2 linked regions of the Lonchura striata genome follow. The protein of the gene in region 1 purifies or fractionates together with the protein of each later gene. This does not show direct contact. Links are inferred from orthologs where the notes say so. Each region holds a gene or a part of one and is shown in the gene's direction. Other genes may lie near its edges.

What was found.
Region 2: the proteins of PIP4K2A (region 1) and UBE2H purify together in Homo sapiens (affinity purification with mass spectrometry; 3 studies listed by BioGRID and IntAct, with this or other methods). This does not show direct contact. The link is inferred for Lonchura striata from reciprocal best matches to the Homo sapiens genes PIP4K2A and UBE2H.

Annotation. Positions count from the first base shown.
Region 1 is NC_134603.1:138,983,291-138,993,786, reverse strand, and holds the start of PIP4K2A (phosphatidylinositol 5-phosphate 4-kinase type-2 alpha), read left to right. Parts: upstream 1-5,447; 5' UTR 5,448-5,564; coding exon 5,565-5,705; intron 5,706-10,496. UniProt on the Homo sapiens protein: Catalyzes the phosphorylation of phosphatidylinositol 5-phosphate (PtdIns5P) on the fourth hydroxyl of the myo-inositol ring, to form phosphatidylinositol 4,5-bisphosphate (PtdIns(4,5)P2). Has both ATP- and GTP-dependent kinase activities.
Region 2 is NC_134607.1:72,062,072-72,072,536, forward strand, and holds the start of UBE2H (ubiquitin-conjugating enzyme E2 H), read left to right. Parts: upstream 1-5,853; 5' UTR 5,854-5,914; coding exon 5,915-5,967; intron 5,968-10,465. Other genes in the region: ZC3HC1 (zinc finger C3HC-type protein 1), read left to right, coding at 353-551, 718-927, 1,049-1,258, 3,099-3,167. UniProt on the Homo sapiens protein: Accepts ubiquitin from the E1 complex and catalyzes its covalent attachment to other proteins. E2 ubiquitin conjugating enzyme that transfers ubiquitin to MAEA, a core component of the CTLH E3 ubiquitin-protein ligase complex.

The DNA of each region.
Region 1 (10,496 bases):
GCACTCCCAAGTCCATCACAAAACCAGGTTCCTAATGGAGATGTCTCTCCATGGGCATTACAGGCAACACAGTACCAGGTTTACTCTTAGCTCTGAAGTGTTTAAATACTGTTCCAGCAGGTCTTTCATCTCCCATTTCTGTATAGGTACCATGAATGCTGACTGCAACATATACTTATAATGTCATGCTGTAAAAAAATCTATTAATGGACTGAAATACAACTTCCATGTCATGACAGGCTGTATGAATAAAACTTACCTCACACCTGTACAAAACTGTCCCTAAGGCATAAGGGAACAAAGAAAAGACCTGGATTGTGTGCACACTCTCTCTGTAGAGAGACTGTCTCCAAGGCTTAGTTTACAATAAGGATTAGGGTACATTTAGAATTAGGGTCTGCATCTTCAGTTGGAATGGGTTTACAAAGGAGCTTCAGAGAAAAACAGCGCAGAGAGAATTTGGAAGGGAAAGTGTTTTGGTGTTGGCATTGGTGGGGTATCCTGGTCTAAGGCTCACCCTGTGGCCATGGTTAAGGCTGAGAAAGAGAAACCTATGGGGAAGGCTAGACAGTTGGAAGAGGCTAGAAAAGAGCTCTCAAAGTGAAAGGTGGGCTGCAAAGAGAAATTGGCTTCAAGAACTTCTTGTTCTGGGCAGTGGCTGAGGGTCATGTCTGAAGCTCAGCCTCTGAGATTAAAGTCAGGGTTAGGCTTGGGAGGGGGAGTCATTGAGCTTCTGCTGCAGTGGGACTGTGAAAGAATGGATAACTGGAAGAAGGAGAATTTTGTTCCCATAAGTTTTCTGTTTGACCTAGCCCAAGGTAAATTGTAGCCCAGGATTCAGCCTTAGGCTGGGTTTATTGATATGACTGGGTTGACCTTGGCTGGATATCAGTGCCCATCAAGTTACGCTATTACTCCCCTCCTGAACTGGACAGGGGGAGCCTCCTACCCAGGTTCAGCTTCACTGCCAATTTTATCTATCTTTTCCCCCAGTGGAGGAATGGGTGCCTGTGATCAGGTCATTACACACTGTCTTTACTGCTCCATTCTCCTTCTTCCTCCCTTGCTCCAGTGTGAGGTCCCTCCTACAGGAGACAGTTCTCCATGAACTTCTCCAACATGAGTCCTTCCCAAAGGCTGTAGTTCACAAACTGCTCTAGCATGGGCCATTTCCACAGGATGCAAGCCCTTCAGGAGCCGACTGCTCCAGCGTGGGTTGGCATCTTCTCACAGAGGCCACCCCTATAGCTCCCTGCACAACCAAAACCTTGCCTTGCAAATCCAGCAGAGGCTAGGGTTAAAATTAGGGTTAAAAGAAAGAGAGCCCAGAGTTGCACTGAGAGTTGAGTTAGAAAGGAGGTGGGCTGCAAAGAGAACTTGGCTGGGAGACTGTTTTGGCTTGGGAATTAAAAGAGGGGGTGACAGCATTTAATTATGTTTACATCAGGATTAGAGTTAAGGATGGGAGAAAGAGCCTAGAATTCCAGCAGAAGGAGAGTTAGAGAAGGGCTTTTAAGGGGAAGTCTAAGTTAAAGGAACTTGGCAGGGCTGCCTGGTCTGAGGCCCAGCCTACTCTTAAGGTTATTTTTGACAAGAGAGTGTAGTACCGCAGCCTTAAAACACCTGGGATGCAAGAAGAACTTTGTTGCAAGAACTTTTTGATATGACTGGTGCTCTGCAGTCCTGGTCTGAAGTCCATCATACAGCTTGTGTGAGGGTTAGGGCTGGTGCTAGGAGCCAAAGAGACCCTAGAGCTGCAGATGAAGGGAAGCTTGAGAGCAGCTGATAGTGAAAAGGTTGGGCCACAGGGATAACTTGCCTGCCAAAACTTGGTGGTGGAAGCAATGGCTGAGGGGCCTGGTCCAAGGCTCAACATAACTTCTAGGTGTAGGGTGAGGTTTGAGGTTATGTTTGACAGAAGGAAAGAGACAACAGCTGCAGCTGGCTCAGGGCTAGAAAGTGACTGTCCCAGGGAAGTGTAGGCTGCCAGAAGAACTTGGCAGCAAGAACTTCCTGGTGTGGGCACTAGCACCATATCCAAAGCCCAGCATATGGTTTGTTTGAGGCTTAACGTTAGAGCTATGAGACACAGAGGACCTGGAGTTGCAGCTGGAATGGAGGTACAAAGCAGATCTTAAAAACAAAAAAGGTGTGGTGTTGGAAAGGATGGATAAATATAATTATTCATAAATAATACAGCCAGGATGAGAACAGTCCTCCCAGCTAGCCGGACAATGCCCCTGCCTACGGATGGGTCCAGGGGTCAAGTGGACTGTTCCATCTCAGCCCCTAAAATGTATGGTTCACCTCGCATCTGTAATCCTCCCCTAAAACATCAAGTGCCTGTAACCCCATTGGCCCGAGCCTTGTTCCAGCCCACCTTGAAGCCCCCTAATAAGGGGTCTCCGAGGGGCCAGACCCTCTCTTGGAACTTCCCCTCCTCTTGGAACTTCCCCTCTCCTACAGCATCCTTTTGTCTCTCCCCTCCCCCATCCTCTCAAGCCTCGCCACGTGCTGGTCTGGCAGCTCGAGGCAGGACCTTTCTGCATCCCCAATAAACCTTGTAACCCAAGAGCAGCCTTCAGAGATGTCTCATCCTCATTCACCTAAACCGTCCTGGAGCTCAGCGCTCTCTACAGTGTGGGGTAGAGCAAATGTGGCAGAGAGAATATTTTATTGAGGGCACTGGTTGGGGGACCTGGTCTAAAGATCTGTGTTAGTGTTAAGGTGGGCATTTGGACAGAGAGAGCCTAGAGCTGCAGATGGAGGGAGCTTAAAAAGGGAACATGTCAAAGGAAAGAGTAGAACATGAGAAGAACGTGGCTGTGACAATCTTTTGGTGCGGGCAATGGCTGGGGACCCTGCATTGTGACTCAGCATAAAATGACATTTTCCCTCAGGTCATTGCTAGAACTGGGGGAGAGAGAGCCCTGGAGCTCCAGCAGATGGTGAGTTAAAAGAGGTTTGAAAGGGAGGTCTAGGCTGCAAGAAATGGACTGTGAAATTTTTTACTGTGGGCATTGGCAGGAGGGCCTCAGCCTCTGTTCTGTTTTAAGGGACAGGATTACAACTGAGGGAAAGACATCCCAAGAGAAGAGTAGACTGCAAATGTAATCAAGTTTTGTCTCTTCAAGTGACTTCTGAGTTCAGCTGCATCTGTCTCATGGATTCAGTGGAAAACCTGTGCCCACAGTGGTTCCTACAGGAAAGGCAAGTACAGGCAACCATCTTTGTTTGTGGCACTTAAAACTGAAGAGGATAAATCTTTGCCTCAGACTTTGTAATGTAAATAGCCCAGGCCCTTGAATTTTTAAAATTTTGCTGTAATTGTTATTGTCAACATCCTCTGTTCTTCTGATAAAACCACCTTCTTTAGTGAGAACTCATATTTGCAGAGAAGAGCTCCTTAGAATCTATGCCAATATGACAAGAAAGTCTTCTGGAAAAAAGAGCAACTTCCTTCTTCAACCTTCCCTATAAAAAATCTACTAAAATTTTAATTATTTATAAACCAAAATGCTTAACTATAGGGATTTGCTCTGGAAAGATGAAGAAAGACACATGTGTGGCAGATGTTAGTCATGTTGATGTGCGTAGCATTGCACAGTGCTCAGATGTCGTGTTCTAAGTGTAATGTAAGGGATAAAATGGGTACTGAACTCTTCCAAAAGTCTGACTTCAAATCTATATTTAGGCATCTAAGTGACCTGCTTTTATTCAAAGGTGCTGACGACTCAGTTGCTTCCATTGACTGCAGCAGAACATAAGGGATTTTTTTGTTGTTGAATCCATTTTCAAGAACAAAAATTACAGTTGAGTATCTCTGTAACTCCTAAGTAACTCTGCTGGGGGAAAAAAAAAAAAAAAACAAAACAAAAAATGAGCAGAAAATTAAATACATCTCTGTTTTATCATACTCTCCATAATATGAAGACAAGGGACCATATAATAAATCCCAGTAACTGCTTCAATGCAGGAGGGAGATTAAACATTACTGCTTTAGATTCCAGCATGATAGATAACTTTGCTGTTGAGATCACAATGGCAAAAGAGAAATGGGGACGTGCAACACATTTTTAAATTTATGTAAGCTTGTGTTGGGGTCCCAGACTCAGGTATTGATCTTAGTTGCCCTGAACAGCCACACTGGGAACACATTCTGCCCAGGACCTCCACTTAAGCTCAGGGAGGGCACAGTTTAGGTCTCTGCCTGAGCTATGTTGTAGGTATACCTGTCTCCAGCTCTGTGTTTTGGTTATACCTTGGGCCTCTCTCGTAGGCAGCTTGCCTGCACCTCTGTTTCTGGCCCTGGATAGAACCTGTGCCTACGTTGTGCCTTCCTGGATGGACATGGTTCATCACCTCAGCTTCTCTGGGACTGCTGATGTGATGTATGCTCTTGCCAGCACCCTGCCCACCAAGTGTGGGCCCTGTGCATCCATGCCTTGTCACTGAGAGCACTGGTTGCAGTGGGATGACCCTCACTTGTGGTTTGTCCACCTCATGGAGCTGCCCTGCTCTTGCTTCTCCCTAAGGATCTGGTCACCTTGCTGAAGCATCAGATGATGAACAAAGCAAGATCTACAGCAGGCAGGTCAGTTTGTGTTATTCAGAAGCTGATGTATGACTTACTGTAAAGGCTCAGGAGATGTATGCTCTGTGTTACCCGTGGGTACTGGCCCCGAGCAGTGACAACAGATGTCATTGAGTTCCTCATCATACAGTGGAGCAAAACTTACGCGGTGTTCGATATTTCTGAGCTGGGCAGATGTGCCTTTACAGGATGTCACCTGTCACTGACCACATCCTCTGTGGCCATGGAGACGATCAAGAAACATTCTGCTGGGGGTGTAACAGCACAGCGAGGTCACAGCGGTGCAATAGTCTTGCAGGGGACCGAGCTTTCTGTATTTGCGGCACGTCGGCTGCAGGAACCGCTCTGCTCAGGGAGCCGAGCTGGGGCGGGAGCAGCAGGCACAGCCCTGCCGCAGAGATCCCTCTCATTCCTACAGATCGCTGGCAGAGGGAACTGGAATCACACAAGCTGTACGAAGTTACGGCGTGAGCCACCAGCTCGCTAAAGAGCAGGGCGATGGGAGGCTCGGTTCCTCAGAGGACTGGCGACGGCGTGAGGGCCAGAGGCCAGCGGCCGACAGCCCCTTTCCCGCGGGGCGGGGCGGGGCCCGCGCCCAGCTCCGCAGGCCCCGCTCCCTGAGGGGAGGGCGGCGCGGCGGCCCCCCCGCCTCGCTGCCCGCGGCCGCGCAGGCGCCGCGCGCGGGGAGCATGCGCAGCGGGGCGGCAGAGCCGGCGCTCCGCGGTTCCCGCGGGGGCGGGGCGGGCGCGCGGTGCGTGGCGGGCGGGCGGCGGCCGCTCCCCGCGGGGGGGGCGGGGCGGGGCCGCCGCGCCGAGCGGGGCCATTTCAGCCGCCAGGCCGGGATGCGCCCGGCGTCCCGCGGCTGCCCGCCCGCCGCCCGCTCGCCCGCGGGGCTGCGGCGCTGATCGCTCCTGCCCGCCCGCCGCTCTACCCCACGCCAGCCCCTTCCACCTCCGCCGCCGGCAGCGCCATGGCGGCCCCCAGCAGCATCGTGCCCGTCATGGCGAGTAAAACCAAGACCAAGAAAAAGCACTTCGTGGCGCAAAAAGTGAAGTTGTTCCGGGCTAGCGATCCGCTGCTCAGCGTCCTCATGTGGGGGGTCAACCACTCGGTAAGCGCCGCCGTTCGACCCACACGAGCCCGCCCGCCGCGCTGGGGCATCGCACCCGGGGGCTGCGGGGGCGCGGGCGGGACTGGGGCAGGCACGTGCCGCCGGGAGCCCCCGCCGGCTGCCGCCCCTCGCCCGGCGGGGCCGGGAGCGCCTTACCCCGGGAGCGTGGGGTGTGCGGCGCGGAGCGGCTGCAGCGCCCTGCCCGGGCGCGGACGATGCGCGGGGGCCGTGCGGGGCGCCTGCGGTAGCCCGTGTCCGCCCTTTGGCCCCGCGGTTCCGCTCGGCGGCAGCGGGCGGGAGGTGCCCGGGAGGGGACGGTGCTGCGAGCGGAGCCCGAGTAGCTCCGCTCCTGCCGCCGGCACCGCGCGGGCGTCGCATGGATGTGCTGCAGTTGGGAAAAATCCCGGTTATCAGTGGGAACTGGCCAAGTTCGTCCCGCGTCCGTGCTGTTCGCTTCGGCAAGTGTCCGCTGCCAGTGTGCGCGGGGGAGGGGAGGAGGAAGGGCTTGGTGTGGTAAGGCGGCAGAACTGCACCATTTGCGAAGTGCTCCATCACCCTGCGGGGACGGGCGGCCCGGGCTCCGGGAGAGCTCCCGGCCGGGCGCTGGTCTGCGTTAAAATTAGGAGTCTGGTAAAGGTGTCACATGGTTTGGGCATTACGGGGTTCAGGTCGCAGCTTTGCATCTTTAAATAGCCGCCATGGCAGGTTAAAAGTGTAGAGCCCAAAGATCGTCAGAAATCGGGTATCAGGGCAGTTGAGCAAAGAGCGTGTTCCCTTCTGCTGGCGGAGCGCAGCCTGTACGCCTGTGTCGGGTTTGCATGGGTTACGTCTGCTGCTGAGTAACGAGCCTGTAAGAATGTCAGTGTGCAATTTGAGATCAGACTACAAATTTTGAAACGGTCTCATGAAACCGACAGAGCAGCCTGTAGTATTTGCTCACTATTCCTTTTGTTTCCTACACATCCATAGCCCATGAATTTTTTACCTCTGTGGATGTTTCAGTAGTTTTTGCCCAAAGTCTGTGCATCAAGCCTGGGCTCTGTTAGACTGTGTTAAACAGCACAGTGCCTGAAGTAAGGATCATGGGGAAATGCTTTGGCTGTATGTACCAGACAGAGGAGAAGCTTCAGTGAAGTTGAACAGTCTGTTTAAGGTAGCACTGTGGGTCGGTAGGTAATGGTGACAAAGGATTTCAAGTTTTCAGTAGGTCAGTTGTGAGCAGTGACATCTATGTCATGAACTGATAAGACAGTAGTTATTTATCTACAAAGCAGAAATATCTTTAATTGTGGAAGTGCATGATATTCTGATTTGCCTGATTTGGGCTTAAATACCCACATTTCTTTTGCTCCTTTTGTAGTAGCCAGTGTTATAGAAAATTCTCAAACAGGCCTCTTTAATGAAAGAAAGCAAGCGAGTAATTACAGGGTGAGAGAGTTGTACTGAATGGCAGCGTGTGCTAGCTGTTCACTGTCTTCCTGAGGAGAGGGGGAGAAGATCACTGATGAAAGCAGAGATCTTCCTGTTGCAACAGCTCGTTGCTATGTGAGTTCACAGTGGAAATACCACTACTTTTAGAGGAAAGACCTCTTCACTACAGTAATAACCAAGTATATAGTGACAAATGCAACACCATATGTGATTCTCACCATCCTGCAGTCATGTGCTGTAGTGTGCTTAGCTGTTCTCAATAGAAAATGTAATAAAGTATGTTGGTTCATGCACAGAAGATGCGAAATTGTGAACTGAAGTCCTCTCTTTGGAGAGGTTCAAAAAAAAAAAACAACACCAGCAACACAACAGGCTCAGAGAAAAGAGGCTTTGCATTCACATGAAGGTGATGGTTGTAGGTGTGAATATCTGTTGTGTTCTGCAGATGGCATTCCATTTCCTTAGCCCACTGCAAAATGTAGTCATGAGTAATGCTTGGAGGCCCTGTGGAAGTGAAATCCCACTGAATGAGAGAGCATGGAAAAAAAAATTTAATTTGATGTGTCCAAATTAAACATCTCTTCCTGGCCAAGAATGCATCATTGAAGTGTTGCAGGCTTCTCTGTTAGATGCTTTTCCTGTCATTTTGTAATGCTTCATGTGGCAATGTCCACCAAATGAAAATAAGTGTGCAAGCATGGTTTAACTCTGTTATCACAAATAAGAGTTTCTCATGGGAGAAATACAAACTATGTGTATTAATTAAGAACAGGAGTTAGGAATCCTTAGGTTTCTTAGCAGAATAAACAGAAATCCATAAGCAAAAGCTAGACTAAGAACAGAGCATAGATTATAGTTCATGATGGGAGTCATTAAACTTAGAACACAGTAATTATCTGGAAAATTATATTTAAGACTGTCTGTAGTGCCTGTCAGTTAATGAGAGAATAGAAATATGAGTCTTACTAACTGTTTCTTGGGGAATAATATATATATATATATTGAAACAGTGAAGCTGAGATGCAGTTCCTATGTTTCTGACATTGCTGCATGTTTTGGAAGGAAACACTTGGTGAAGATAAAGGAAAAAGATTATTTTTCTGCAGGTGTATTCATTTTTTTAGTCTTAGGACTATACTTGATTGTTGAATATGGGAGGATTTTCAGAGTTTGAAATTGAATGTGAAAAAATTAAGAAAAAAACCTCAACAAACTGTTGTTTTAACTCTCCTGTCCTAGAAGGAAACATGACTCTAAAGGGAAAACCTAAACATTGGTGTCACAAAGCTGAGGGCTGACAGCAGAGGTGTGAGTTCTTAATGGGGGGGGGAAATTTGCAGAGGCATGCCTGTTACCCAAGGTTCTTATCAATTACCCACACATTACAATGGTAAGCAACTTGCTGTTACTGTTTAGATAGAAGTAGAGGGGATACCTAATGCAAAGTCCTGTTTGGTAGTACAGTCAAATTCAGTAAACTTCAAAGGGCATGTGAGAGGAAAACATGAAACATTATCCAATGTCTTACGAAGCAATAAAAAATGTGTTCACATTCACAGCTGTAAATTCATTTATCAGTGTTCTGACACATTGCTGTAGAATGAAGCTTGCTGCTGAGTGAAAGGGAAAGCAACTGTGTCCCATTTTGTAGATCTGATTATAATACTGATGACTTGTAGCAGCAAAGACTAATTGTCAGTGCTTGGATCTTGCAGGCATCTGCATCATTAACAGTTGATTTTTATCTTTGTCTTTTACCCCAGTGTCAAAGATAATCTGGCTGTGCTACTGAAATAAATATTTAAACTCAGTGGTTAGTATGACTTAAAGGTATATTTTTAGCTAGCACCATAATTGTATTTAATTTACAAGTGATGTAAATAACATTCTTATACTGTCACTGCTGCTGGATTTCCAATAACTGTAGGAAGTAGGAGAGGAAAGGAGGGTGGCATATAACTTGTTTTCTGTGCCTAGAAATGAAAGCCACAGATTCTGTGTATTCTGCATCCTATAATCATCCCAGGCACATTGATGGTGAATGTGCTCTCACTAGAATTGGTTGCGTGCTTCCGTTAGGAGCTTGTTAGGAAAGCTGGGAATTTGTAGGCTTAGGTCCTTCAAAACATCATCCTAAAAGATGGCAGAAACTAATACAAGTGGGGTTTTTTGTAACTAATTTTGAGGTAAAGAACAGACTGCTGGAGAGCTTGCCTACTGTGTCAACCATTAAATGTATTTAGGAGATGAGCATGAATGCCTAATGAGTTCAGCATACTGTATAAGTTTAAAAAAACCCAACCAAAACCAAACAGCCCCCCCCCCCCGCCCCAGCCCCTGGAATCTGTAATCACCATCTGTTTCTTGGATGATTACAAGCTGATCCAAAAATTTAACAGTGCCCGACTTCTCAATGGCACTTGCTGCCTAATAAGCAAGTGTGGAGAAACAAGAATACATGGATAAAATTACTTCCCCCCCAGCACTTTGTGGAGTACATCAGAAGGAGTGTACTTTCTGTGGCTAAAGAATTCAACACACTCCAATGAACTCCATGACCTTCTTCAACTGCTCACATGAGGCACTGTGAGCTTGCTGCTACTGTTGCACTGTTCCTTGTATTCTTGCTTTATTTTTAACAGAAGTGGAGCAACACCAGGAAGGAATAATTGTAAAAAGAGCTGTGGGACTCTATCAGTGTACCTCTTGTGTTCTTTCACCTTAGAGTTAGAAACTGGGAGGAGGACAAAAAGCATGACAAGTAAATGCATCTTTCTCCCCCTCTCATGCAGTAAGATATATTTGATCACATTGAGTGCTTCTGTATCTGTAGAAAGATATAAATGTGTGTTCTAGTCAGTTTTAAGTTTGGGGGTTTTCATTGGTCTTTCTTGTTACAAACTTTCATCCAAATACATAAGTAGCTCACCTATTAACACCTGTCCTTATGTTTTACCTTTCCACTGGAGAGCTTGTTAGGTAAAGTGGAACCTCTTAGTTGTGGCATAAATAATTTTTCTTAGACCTGACTTACCTAGCATCTCTCCTAGGAACTTTCTGTCCTGACACATGGTAGGTACATGTAGGAAAATGACACTGAAAAGGTGTTACTGAATTTTTCTGTAGGAAGATGAAACCTAAATAATTGAAAACTAAGTGATGCAATCTGGAATACAAATTCCATGTTTATGATTAGCTTTCATTAAAGAAAGGGTGAGATTGGTTGACCAAAACAAGCCCACAGCACTTAGTACTAGTGGTGTGCCTTCAAAAGTTACAGGAATTGGTAACTTCTGTGTCCGTATTTTTAATATAGTCTCAAATGACAATGTGACTGGTGACTGAGGATATGGAACCATA
Region 2 (10,465 bases), on another chromosome or scaffold:
ATCTCATGGGGATTCCGTGGGGATCCTATGATGATCCCATGAAGATCCTCTGAGGATCCCATGGGGATTCCATGTGGATCCAATGAGGATCCCATGACGATCCCATGAAGAGATGAGGATCCCATGAAGATCCTGTGAGGATCCCATGAGTATCCCAAGAAGATCCCATGTGGATCCTGTGAGAATCCTGTGAGGATCCCGTGAGGATCCTGTGAGGATCCCATGGGGATTCCATGTGGATACAATGAGGATCCCATGACGATCCCATGAAGATATGAGGATCCTGTGAGGATCCCATGAAGATCCTGTGAGGATTCCATGTGGATCCCATGACGTGCCTCTGTCCCTGCAGCGCTGCCTCGGGCTCCGTCAACCTCTCGGTGATCACCTGCTCCCGCTGCATGAGGAAGGTGGGGCTGTGGGGCTTCCACCAGCTGGACTGTGCCGCGGCTCCGGAGCCGGATTCCTGCGGCTCCGGCAGCAGCGTCCCGCCCGTCCCCACGTCCCCACGCCGGATGCTGACCCGGAGCCAGGACCCGGGAGCCGAGCAGGTACCTCCTGCCACACTGGGCCAGGGACACTTGGCCAGCTCCAGGCGCTCCAAGTCCCTCACCCGCACCCGATGAACGCATCCGTGGGGTGGGAAGGGCTCCTGTGGGGTGGCTGAGGAGGGTTGGAGCAGAGGAGCTCCGTGAATCCCGTTTTTTTTCCCCGCAGCAGCACGAGAAGAGCCTGTCCCCAGCTGTGTCCCGGCCGCGGGGTTGGGATTCTCCCAGCTCCATGGACAGGGGCGAGTTGGATGCCATCAGCCCCGCTCTGAGGAGCCGCCCCGTGACCCGGAGCATGGGACAGGGGGACACCATGGAAGTGCCATCCAGTCCTGTCCGCAGGGCCAAGCGGGCGCGGCTCTGCTCCTCCAGCAGCTCGGTGAGCCCCCCGGGCAGGGTGGGATCCAGGGATTTGGTGTTGTCCCTCTAGCCACTCCCAGTGGGAGTCTCTAAACCATCCCATCGTTGTGTCCCTCCTCTGTCACCTCCTCGCTTCCCAGGACACTTCCTTGAGGAGCTTCTTTCACCCCAGCTCTCAGCACCGTGATTGGTGTCCCTGGGTCAGCACTGGGGAGGGACAGGAGTCCCTGGAGGATGCTGCATCCCAGACAGAGAAGGAGCCTGGGAAGGCTGAGCCAGGCTGGGAAGTGGTGCTGAAGAGGCTCCTTGGCATCCAAAAATGTGACACAGCGCCCGAAACGGAGCCAGTGGTGAGCCTGGGGCATCCCAACTTGTCTAGGCAGCAAAAATTTGGGATGGGTGGGCTTTGTTTGGGATCGGTCCCAGCCAGGTGACAAGGACCAAGCTGGCATTCCCACAGCCAGGCTCCATCCAAGGCTGGGCTGTGCTGGAGCTGCTGGAGGGCTGCTATAAATAACAGTGCTGCTCAAGATCCAGTTTCATTCCGTGTGCCCAGAGCTCCTCTCTGCAGCCATCCCAGTTCCTGGCTCCAGGCTCTTGGCTTGCCAGGCTTGCCGAGGCCACAGCTCCCTCCCCATGTGGCTCTGGAGGAGCTGCTGCCTCCCTGGATCTCATTATCCACTTGGATTCCTCCTGCCAGCTCCTTCCTTCTTCGTTTGCAGCTCAGGGGAGCGGTGGAGCATTCCCCCTTCAGGATTTGTCCTGGGGGTTCCGAGTGGTTTTGTGTCCCCAAAAGGTTCTTTCTAGTGGGAGGTGTCCCTGCCCACAGCAGGGGGTTGGAACTGGGTGGTCTTTAAGGTCCCTTCCAACCCAAACCATTCCACGATTCCGTGATTCTGCCATGTGCCAGGAAAGCTCCAGATGGTCCGGTGGGACCAGTCACAAGTCAGAGGCACCAGACCCAACTGGAGCAGGGGATGGTTGGAGGCTCTTCCTGGTTTTTTGAGTCCCTTCCTGCTTTTTGGGCTCCTTTCTCTGCTTTTTGGAGTCCTTTCCTGCTTTTTGGGATCCCTTCCTGCTGTTTCGGGTCCTTTCCTGCTTTTTGGGGTCCATTCCTGCTTTTTGGGATCCCTTCCTGCTTTATGGGATCCCTTCCTGCTGTTTGGAGCCCTTTTTGCTTTTTGGGATTCCTTCCTGCCTTTTGGGGTCCATTCCTACTGTTTGGACCCCCTTCCTGCTTTTTGGGATTCTTACCTGCTTTTTGGGGGTCCCTTCTTGCTTTTTGGGCTCCTTTCCTGCTTTTTGGAGTCCTTTCCTGCTTTTTAGGATCCCTTCCTGCTTTTTGGGCTCCTTTCCTGCTTTTTGGAGTCCTTTCCTGCTTTTTGGAATCCCTTCCTGCTTTTTGGGATCCCTTCCTGCTTTTTGGGATCCCTTCCTGCTTTTTGGGCTCCTTTCCTGCTTTTTGGAGTCCCTTCCTGCTGTTTCGGGTCCTTTCCTGCTTTTTGGGATCCCTTCCTGCTTTTTGGGATCCCTTCTTGCTGTTTGGAGCCCTTTTTGCTTTTTGGGATCCCTTCCTGCCTTTTGGTGTCCATTCCTACTGTTTGGACCCCCTTCCTGCTGTTTGGAGCCCCTTCCTGCTGTTTGGAATTCTTACCTGCTTTTTGGGGTCCCTTCCTGCTTTTAGGGTACTTTCCTGTTTTTGGGGTCCATTCCTGCTTTTTGGAATCCCTTCCTACTTTTTGAGGTCCCTTCCTGCTTTTTGGAGTCCCTTCCTGCTTTTTGGAGCCCCTTCCTGCTTTTTGGGATTCCTTCCTGCTTTTTGGGATTCCTTCCTGCTTTTTGGGCTCCTTTCCTGCTTTTTGGGTCCTTTCCTGCTTTTTGGGGTCCCTTCCTGCTTTTTGGAGCCCCTTCTTGCTTTTTGGGATTCCTTCCTGCTTTTTGGGCTCCTTTCCCTGCCTTTTGGGATCCCTTCCTGCCTTTTGGTCTTTTTTCCTGCTTTTTGGGGTCCCTTCCTCCTTCTTGCTTGTCGTCTCCTTGTTCTCCCCTCCAGCTGGCAAACTGGGACCATGAAAACAAGGAGCAAACCTCTGTCCTGGCAGCCAGCTGGGATATTTTAGATTTGTTTTTTTGCCGCAGTTTCTGCTGCAGCGCCTTGACCTGCGGCTGTTGCTTTGTCCCCATCTTTTCCAGAGTCTCTCGGAGAAATCCTGCAAGGTGTTCCGCATTTTCCGCCAGTGGGAGAGCATGAACTCCTCCTGAGCAGCCTCTGGGCAGCAGCACGGGGAGGAGATCCAAGCTCTGCGTGGTTCCTGCGGCAGCTCCGTGCCCCGGGAAGGGCCCCGAGGAAGCTCCGTGCCCACGCTGGGATCCCCCTGCCCCGGCTGCCTTCACAAACTGCTGCTGTGTCCCCCCCTCCGAGGGCTGCACAGCCCTGCCCGCAGCTGGCACGTGCCCGGGGTGACAAGGGGACGCTGTCACCTCCCTGGTGATGCCAGGTGGGAATAAACATTTCATTTTTGTTGTTTTTTTTCTTTTTCCTTCCTGCTGGCGTGGTGCTTCTCCCCGGGGTAGGAGGAGCTCTGGGCCTGGTGTGGCCCCTGTATCCCTCAGGATTTTTGTCCTTATGGGATCAACATCCCGGTGCCTTCCCTGTTTCCCATTCCTCATTTTGTTGTCTCCTTTGCCTGTTGTGGGCGTTTTTCCATTGCCTCAATCCCTGTCCCTCTGTTGAGGGCCAGTTTGGGGTGATGAACCCCTCTGGTTGGAAGGTGGGATTCCCAAAAACCTGGCAAGAGGTGAGTTTCCATGCTGGGAAGGAAATGGTGTCATCCCCATCCTTGAGGATGATTTTGGGGAAAGGGCTTTGGGAAGGGCTGGGATTCCACAGACAGCCTGGCACAGTTGTGTCTCCTCCCTCCAGGTCTGTGGATGTGGGTGGAGGCACAGGGATATGTCATTCCTCTTTTTTTTTTTTTTATTTTGGAAAGGATCCTGCCTCCATTTCCCCAGCCCCATCTCTGAGGTTTCAGCTGTCTCGTGCTCTTGGATGGATTTTGGGATTCTGTGTCTGGAAATGCAGTGGCTGCCTTGCTCAGGGCAGATCCTAGCTCTCCCTGAAGCCCAAAATTTGGGGATGCACCTGCCCACCTGGGGGCTTCTCCTGGGATCCTGCCTCCTGAATTTGGGTGGGTTCCCTTCCTTTCCCTAATTCCAGAGCCCTAACAAGGGGCTGCTGCACCCCATGGCCCTGCTGGGCTGGGAGTTGGGGTGGGAATGGGGATACCCCGAATCCAGAGTGATGAGGATGGGATGGGAAGAGCCCCTTTTCCAGCTGCCTGCACCCACAGATCCCCCATGAGCCCCCCATGCTTTCCCCATTCCTTACATCTCCCTGGAACTCTGGTTCTCCCCTTTCCAATGATTTCCAGCAGGTTCCTATGGCTCCCCTCTATTCCCTACATTCCCTATCCATGGATTCTCCTGCCTCCCCCCCATCTCTGATCAGGGAAGCACCCCACAAATCATGGGATGCACCCAATCCAGGGAGGATGATATTCCCATCCCAGGGTGGGAAAACCCAGCCACAACCCCTCCATCCCAATTTCCACACTGAGGAGTGCTCAGAGGATCCCCAAAATTCCCTCTGCACCCACATTCCAAGGTTTGGGTGCTGTGGCATTGAGGTATTCCAAAAAAAGGAACAGGTTGTAGTCCCTGATATCCTGGAATAATCCCTGGTGTTTCACAGATGGAATAGAAGCATTCCAAGAAATGATGGTAAAATCCTTATTCTCCGTGTCCAGTTCTCCCAGTTGCTTGGAACCAGTCAGGGAATATTGTGGCCTGGGAAATACAGGATCCTCTATCCCAAATTTTGCAGCTGCTCTGCTCAAAGAGAACCCTGTTCCCCTGCCAAATCCCTCCCTGAATTGTGGGGTGTGGATTTGAGTCCCCTCAGGAGGTGTCACCTCCTGCCCCTGCCAAGCTCCGGGCATGCTGGGGCTTTTTTGGGATTTGGGATTCTTTGGCTGTGTCTCCTCCCCACAGGGGGAGGAAACACCGGGGCAGATTTATGGGATGATGCCGGGGTCAGGAATGTGGGGTGTGGAGGTTCCACCATTGGTTTGGGAGACGCCCGTTAGGGGTGTCATCATCCGGGTGGGTAAACTGAGGCACCGGGAAATGCCTTGCCGGTGTCACAGCGGAAATCCGGGATGGTGACTCCTGCTGTGGGGCCTGGCCAGCCGCCACATTCCCGCTTGGATTGAACCGGAATGCCGTGGGCAAACTCCACGTTCTGTGGGGCGGCTCCCTGACCCTGGTGGGGATGGAAAACAGGGGAGCGAGGGGGTGTCAGAATCCGTAGGGAACAAGGGAGATACTGGGAATAAGGGGAACCGTGGGGAATTGTGGAAAAACAATAGAAATGGGGAATTGCAAGGCCCTGACATGGGTGCGCCCCATAGTTTATGAGGTGGTTCCCTGGCTGTGGTGGGAATGGGCAAAATGAAAATGGGGGAATGAGAGGAGTGTCAGAATCCATGGGGAACGGGGAGACACAGGGAATACGGGAGGAACTGCGGGAAACATCGGAAAGGGAAGAACCGCAGCTTGCGGCCCCAGCGGAGCCTCGAACCCGCCGCCCCGCCACCATTTCCCCCCCTCTTTAGAACTACAACTCCCGGCGTGCCTCGGGGGCCGGCGGAGCGTTGAGGGCGCGGCCAATGGCAGCGCCGCGGGGCGGTGACGTCACCGCGGGTGACGTCAGGGGTCCAGAGAGAGGCTGGGGCAGAGGCGGCCGGAGCGGCTGAGGGAGCGCGAGCGGCGCGGGGGGGCGGCCCTGTCGGCGACAGCGGCGACAGCGACAGCGGCGACAGCGACAGCGGCGGCTCCCGGCGCCTCGCTGCCCGGCGCTTCCCCGCTCCCCTCGGCGCCGGGCGGCCCCGGCCCGCGGCGGCGGCGGCGCTGACAGCCCGCCCGGAGCCCCGGGGGCGGCCGCGGCCACCATGTCGTCCCCCAGCCCGGGCAAGAGGCGGATGGACACCGACGTGGTCAAGCTGTATCCTTGCCGTGCCTCCCCCACTCCGGGCCCACGGGGGAGGAGGATTTTTCACCCCCCCTTCCCCACACCCGCGGGCCTGCACTGCAGGGCGGTGGGAGGGCGGGGGGCACCGCGGGAGTCGCCCCCCAAACCCCCCCGGTCGCACCCCGCGGCCTCTCCCCGGAGCTGGGGGTGGGATCTGCCCTTTCCCCCTCACCAGGGGAGGCCTAACCCCCCCTTCTGCCGTGTTTTGGGGGGTATTTCCCCCTCTGTGCCTTGACAGGCGGCCCTGGGGGTGTCTCTGCTGGCTCCCCTCGGTGATGCCCCCCCAATCTGGGTGCCCCGCACTCCCCCTTGCCTGCCCTGGGGAGGGTGAAGAAGGGGAGAGCAGTTCCAGCAGCCACAGCCCAAAGAAAGGCTTTTGTGGGGTTTATTATTAGTATTTATTCCACCATTTCACCCCGCTGTTCATGAAGCTTCTGGTGCCGGCTTAGGGATTTAATTTTTTGGGGAGGATGGGGCGGGGGGTCCCTCGGGGTCTGGCTCAGCAGACCCAGGGGTGGGTGAAGGGCATCAGGGCCCGAGCCCGTCTCCCAAGAGGTTTATGTAACCCTCCAGGTTTGGTTAGCCTTTATTACTTTTTATTTTTCCCCTTCTTCCTGCATAGATCTGTTTATATTTTTCCTCCTTGTTTTTATTCCTGGCCCTTTACGGGGCGGTGAATCCCTTTTTTCTCTCTGTCTGGAGAGTGGGTGGCGTTGAAAAATACCATTGGGAATTCGGTTCTAGGATTGTTTTATTAATAGTTTTTGTTTACAAGGTGGCGGTGTGAGCGTGGAAAGGGTGGCAATGACAAGAGTGGATGAAATGTTGCTCGGATCTGTCTCCTGAACGTGCCCGACCTCCCTCAGCAGGACTCGGGGCTGGTGGCTCTGCCGTGCTGCTTCGAGGGGTCGAGAAACGGGTCTGATTTAGTTCCCAGAGAGAGATAAACAAACTTATCTGGATTTGGTGGTGTTTTTTTGGAGGGGGGGGAGAGGGAGGAGCAGCAGCAGCGCTCCTGTTTGTGGCTTATCGAAGGAAACTTGCCTGACGTTCGCGCAGCGCCTTTCTCCCCACAAAGCCGCTCTCGGTGTATTTTTCGCCCTGTTTTTAAGCAAATAGGAAATGAGTCCTGATGGTGCTCGAATCGGAGCTATTTTTATCCGGGGGTTTAAAGTTACACACATGTCAGACTCCGCCAATTGCGATCGATGCTTAATCGCACCGGGAGGAGGGTCGGGAATTCCAGCTGTTTAGTGAGGGGGGAAAACCTTTCTTGGGGATACCCTGGAAAGAGCTCTGGGCCAGAGCGGGGCCGAGGCCCAACCTGATCGGCTGCTGCTCTGTTTCCCTTTCCCCTCCCCCTCTCTTTTTCCTTTTTTCCCCCCCCTCCCTTTTTGTTCCGTTCCTTGCCGGCTTCTCCAGCGATCGAAGCATTTTGGAGGACAAAGAGCAGGTTTTTCCCTGCGAAGTGGCTTTGCTGTGTGTTTCTAGGAGCTGGGTAGGTAGAAAGCCCCGAATATCTGGGATTCCTCTCGGTGCTGGGCAGTTTCTGCTCTGCTCTTTCTGCCCCTTGACAAAAGGAACCCCTAATGGCTTTTCCAAAAGCAAAGCTCTTGTTGTCGGCTCTGCTTTCCTTGTTTTCCAAGGGGTGAGGGTTAGAGCAGTCGGTCTCCTGCGGACAACAAACTTAGGAAGTTGGATGTGTCAGATGACTCCTCACCACTCCTCCCTCCCTCCCTCTCTCCCTCCCTCCCTCCCCAGCCTTTTTTTGTTTGTCTGCCTGACTCGCCCGGGGTGAGCAGCTCGCTAGGCCCCGGCTCCCCAGCCGCTTCCCTGGGGAATCTCCCCCTCTGGAAGCTGATCTGAAATCAGGGTCTCCTTTGAGACACGGCAGCGAGGAGGGTCTCGTCTGAAGGAATGTGCTTGAGGCCATCTCCCCCTGGGGCTTGCAGGGTTTTGTTGCTGCGGAGGGTTTTTGTTTGGGGTTTTTTTACCCCCCCCCACCCACCTTTTGCTGCCATTTTCATTACAGTTTCCCGTTTCATCCCCTTTCCACGTCTCCAACGGAGAATAATAGTATGGATTTATGGCCTGCCAAGGGCTACCTTTCCCAGCAGGGAGGGGGCACCGAGCAGGGTGAATGCCACTCCTGCCTTCTCCTGCTCTGACAGGTTCAGGAGCTGAGCGAGGTCTTTTTGCGATTCCTATTTTCAATCCTGCCACGTCCGTGTCCTTTTGTGGAAGCCTCTTTGTGAGGAGGGAAGGGGAGAGGTGGCTGCTCTTGGTGGGGCTGCAGGAAGGGCAGAGCTCTGCGGGAATGTGTGCCACTGATGTTTAACAATCCCCTGGACCAGGATGTGCTCCAGCTCCCCGTCACTCATTGTCTCCCTCCGGACTGGGGTTGTGCTGCTGAGGCTGGGAACAGAGAGCCAGAATCGCTCCTCCCCTTTTTGGGGGGGCTCCAGCCAAAGTTTCCTGGGTAACCTGTGACCTTTCAGAGCAGGGTTTTTGGAGGAAGGCTCTGTGCTCCCCAAAACACCTCCAGACCCGCTCGCCAGCGGCCTGGAAGCGTAGGGTTATCCCACTGGGAAGCCCTCGGGCTCCAGGCCAGGCTCTCCAGGTAGCTCCCACCCTGGGGGATGGCAGAGAGGGGGCTCCCCTTTGTGGTCCCCCCAGTTTTGGGGCGAGTGCCAGCCTCGGAGCCGTGTTTGCAGGGAAAAGGCCTCGAGCTCTCGCAACTCCGCGGATTGGCTGCTCTGTTACTACCCGGAAACCGGGCCCGGGGCGGAGCGAGGCTGCAGCTGATGGGGTGCCCCTGCCAGGGTGTTCACACCCATGGGGGGACCCACCCCGGCACCCCCATCCCCCCCAAACCCCGGGGCCGTTTCCCGTTCCAACCCCCGGGTTTATTGTTCCGCTGCGCTCGCAGCTTCCCCTTGGCCGGGAGTTTATTTAGTGCTGATTTATTTTCCTCCTTTTGTGGAGAAACGCTGCTGGCTGCCTTGGAGTCCCCGAGCTCTATTTTTAAGCGTCAGAGCTGGAAAAGGGAAGTGTCACCCTGTTTTGTGCCTGAAAGGAATTATAAATAGTGACCAGCTTTGTTTGAATCTCCCTGTGCTGCCCAGTTTGCAGAGCCGGGGGTTCGGGAGCATAATTCACCGAGCGTCGCTCTCCCTGCTAATTTTAGGCTCGTCCTGAGTCAAGGAGAATAAAGGTACAAAGCTCCTTAGTTTACCTGCAGAGCGTTTTGTAATCTCAGCGCTCCCCCACCCGTGTTTGCGCCGTGGAGGCAAAGGCTAGGACAGAGTTTACATTTGGGATAAATTCCTTTTTCTGGTCATTATAAGCTTACACCGCACTTATCATCCCACTTGAACACCTTCCAAGAGCAGCGTTGAGCAATCGCAGGGTCACGTGGAGTTGTTCTCTTTGGCCTGTCCCCAGGGAAGAGCGTGTGCACTGGAATGTCTTGTTTTGGTAGGGTTTGGTGGGGCTTTGTTGTTTTGTTTGGGGTTTTTTTTTTCCCCCCCTTTTTTGTTTTGTTTTGTTTTAAAGGATGGATATTTCTGGAAACTTTGAATGTAAATTTTCAAATGTCACGCTACGCTTCTTTCTGCTCCACTTCTGGGGCTCTGTTTTAATGAGGTCTCCAGGGATGAGGGGAATCGTGTGGTGATGCTTCAAAATGCACAAAGACGTGGCAGCAGCCCCTTCCCAGAACTGGGGGAGCCCCCCCTTTTTCCCAGAAAGGCTGTCACAGGTGGTGGTTTATAAACCAAATCAGGTAAACGTGGCTTGGGAGGTGGTGCCTGTCTTCAGGAGAATTCAAAATCCATAAATCTCTCCCCAAACCAACTGGAGGAAAATAAATAATCTTTGTTGCCTAAATGACAACTTCCAAGGGTATAATCTCGCTGCTTTTAGAGCAGAATTTGGAGTCTTTGCTGGTGGCTGGATGGTTTTGTTTCCCCAAAGAATTGGCTGGAGCTGGAAGTTCACTCTCCCTTTGTTGCCTTGTCAGTTGGACTGGGGAGGATTTGGGAGCTGGCTTGAAAGCCAAATGCACCTGTTTAATCATGGAATTGCCACAGTCATGGAGTTCAAACTGGGAAATAGGCATTTGGTTAGGGCTGCTTGGAGCAGAGTGCCTGTTGGAGCCTGACATCCCAGCCCTGCTTAAAGTAATAAAAAACAGGGGTCATTTTCATTATTTCCCCGCCTCATTCCCTAGACTTGGAGCAGAGTTTTTGGAACCCTGAGTAGTCTGGCAGGATGATGCTTCCCAGATTCCCAGTTCTGAAGTGGCATTAGAGCACTAAATGCTGATTAAACAAATTCTGGAGGCCTTTTCTTTGTCGTAACAGTTGAAAAACCCCAAAAGTGAACACGGGATTTCAGGAAAACAAACATTCCCTTTCTGACGCTCTCCTTGCTCTCCCCTCCACTGGGTCCAAGAGGTTGTGCCAGCTGC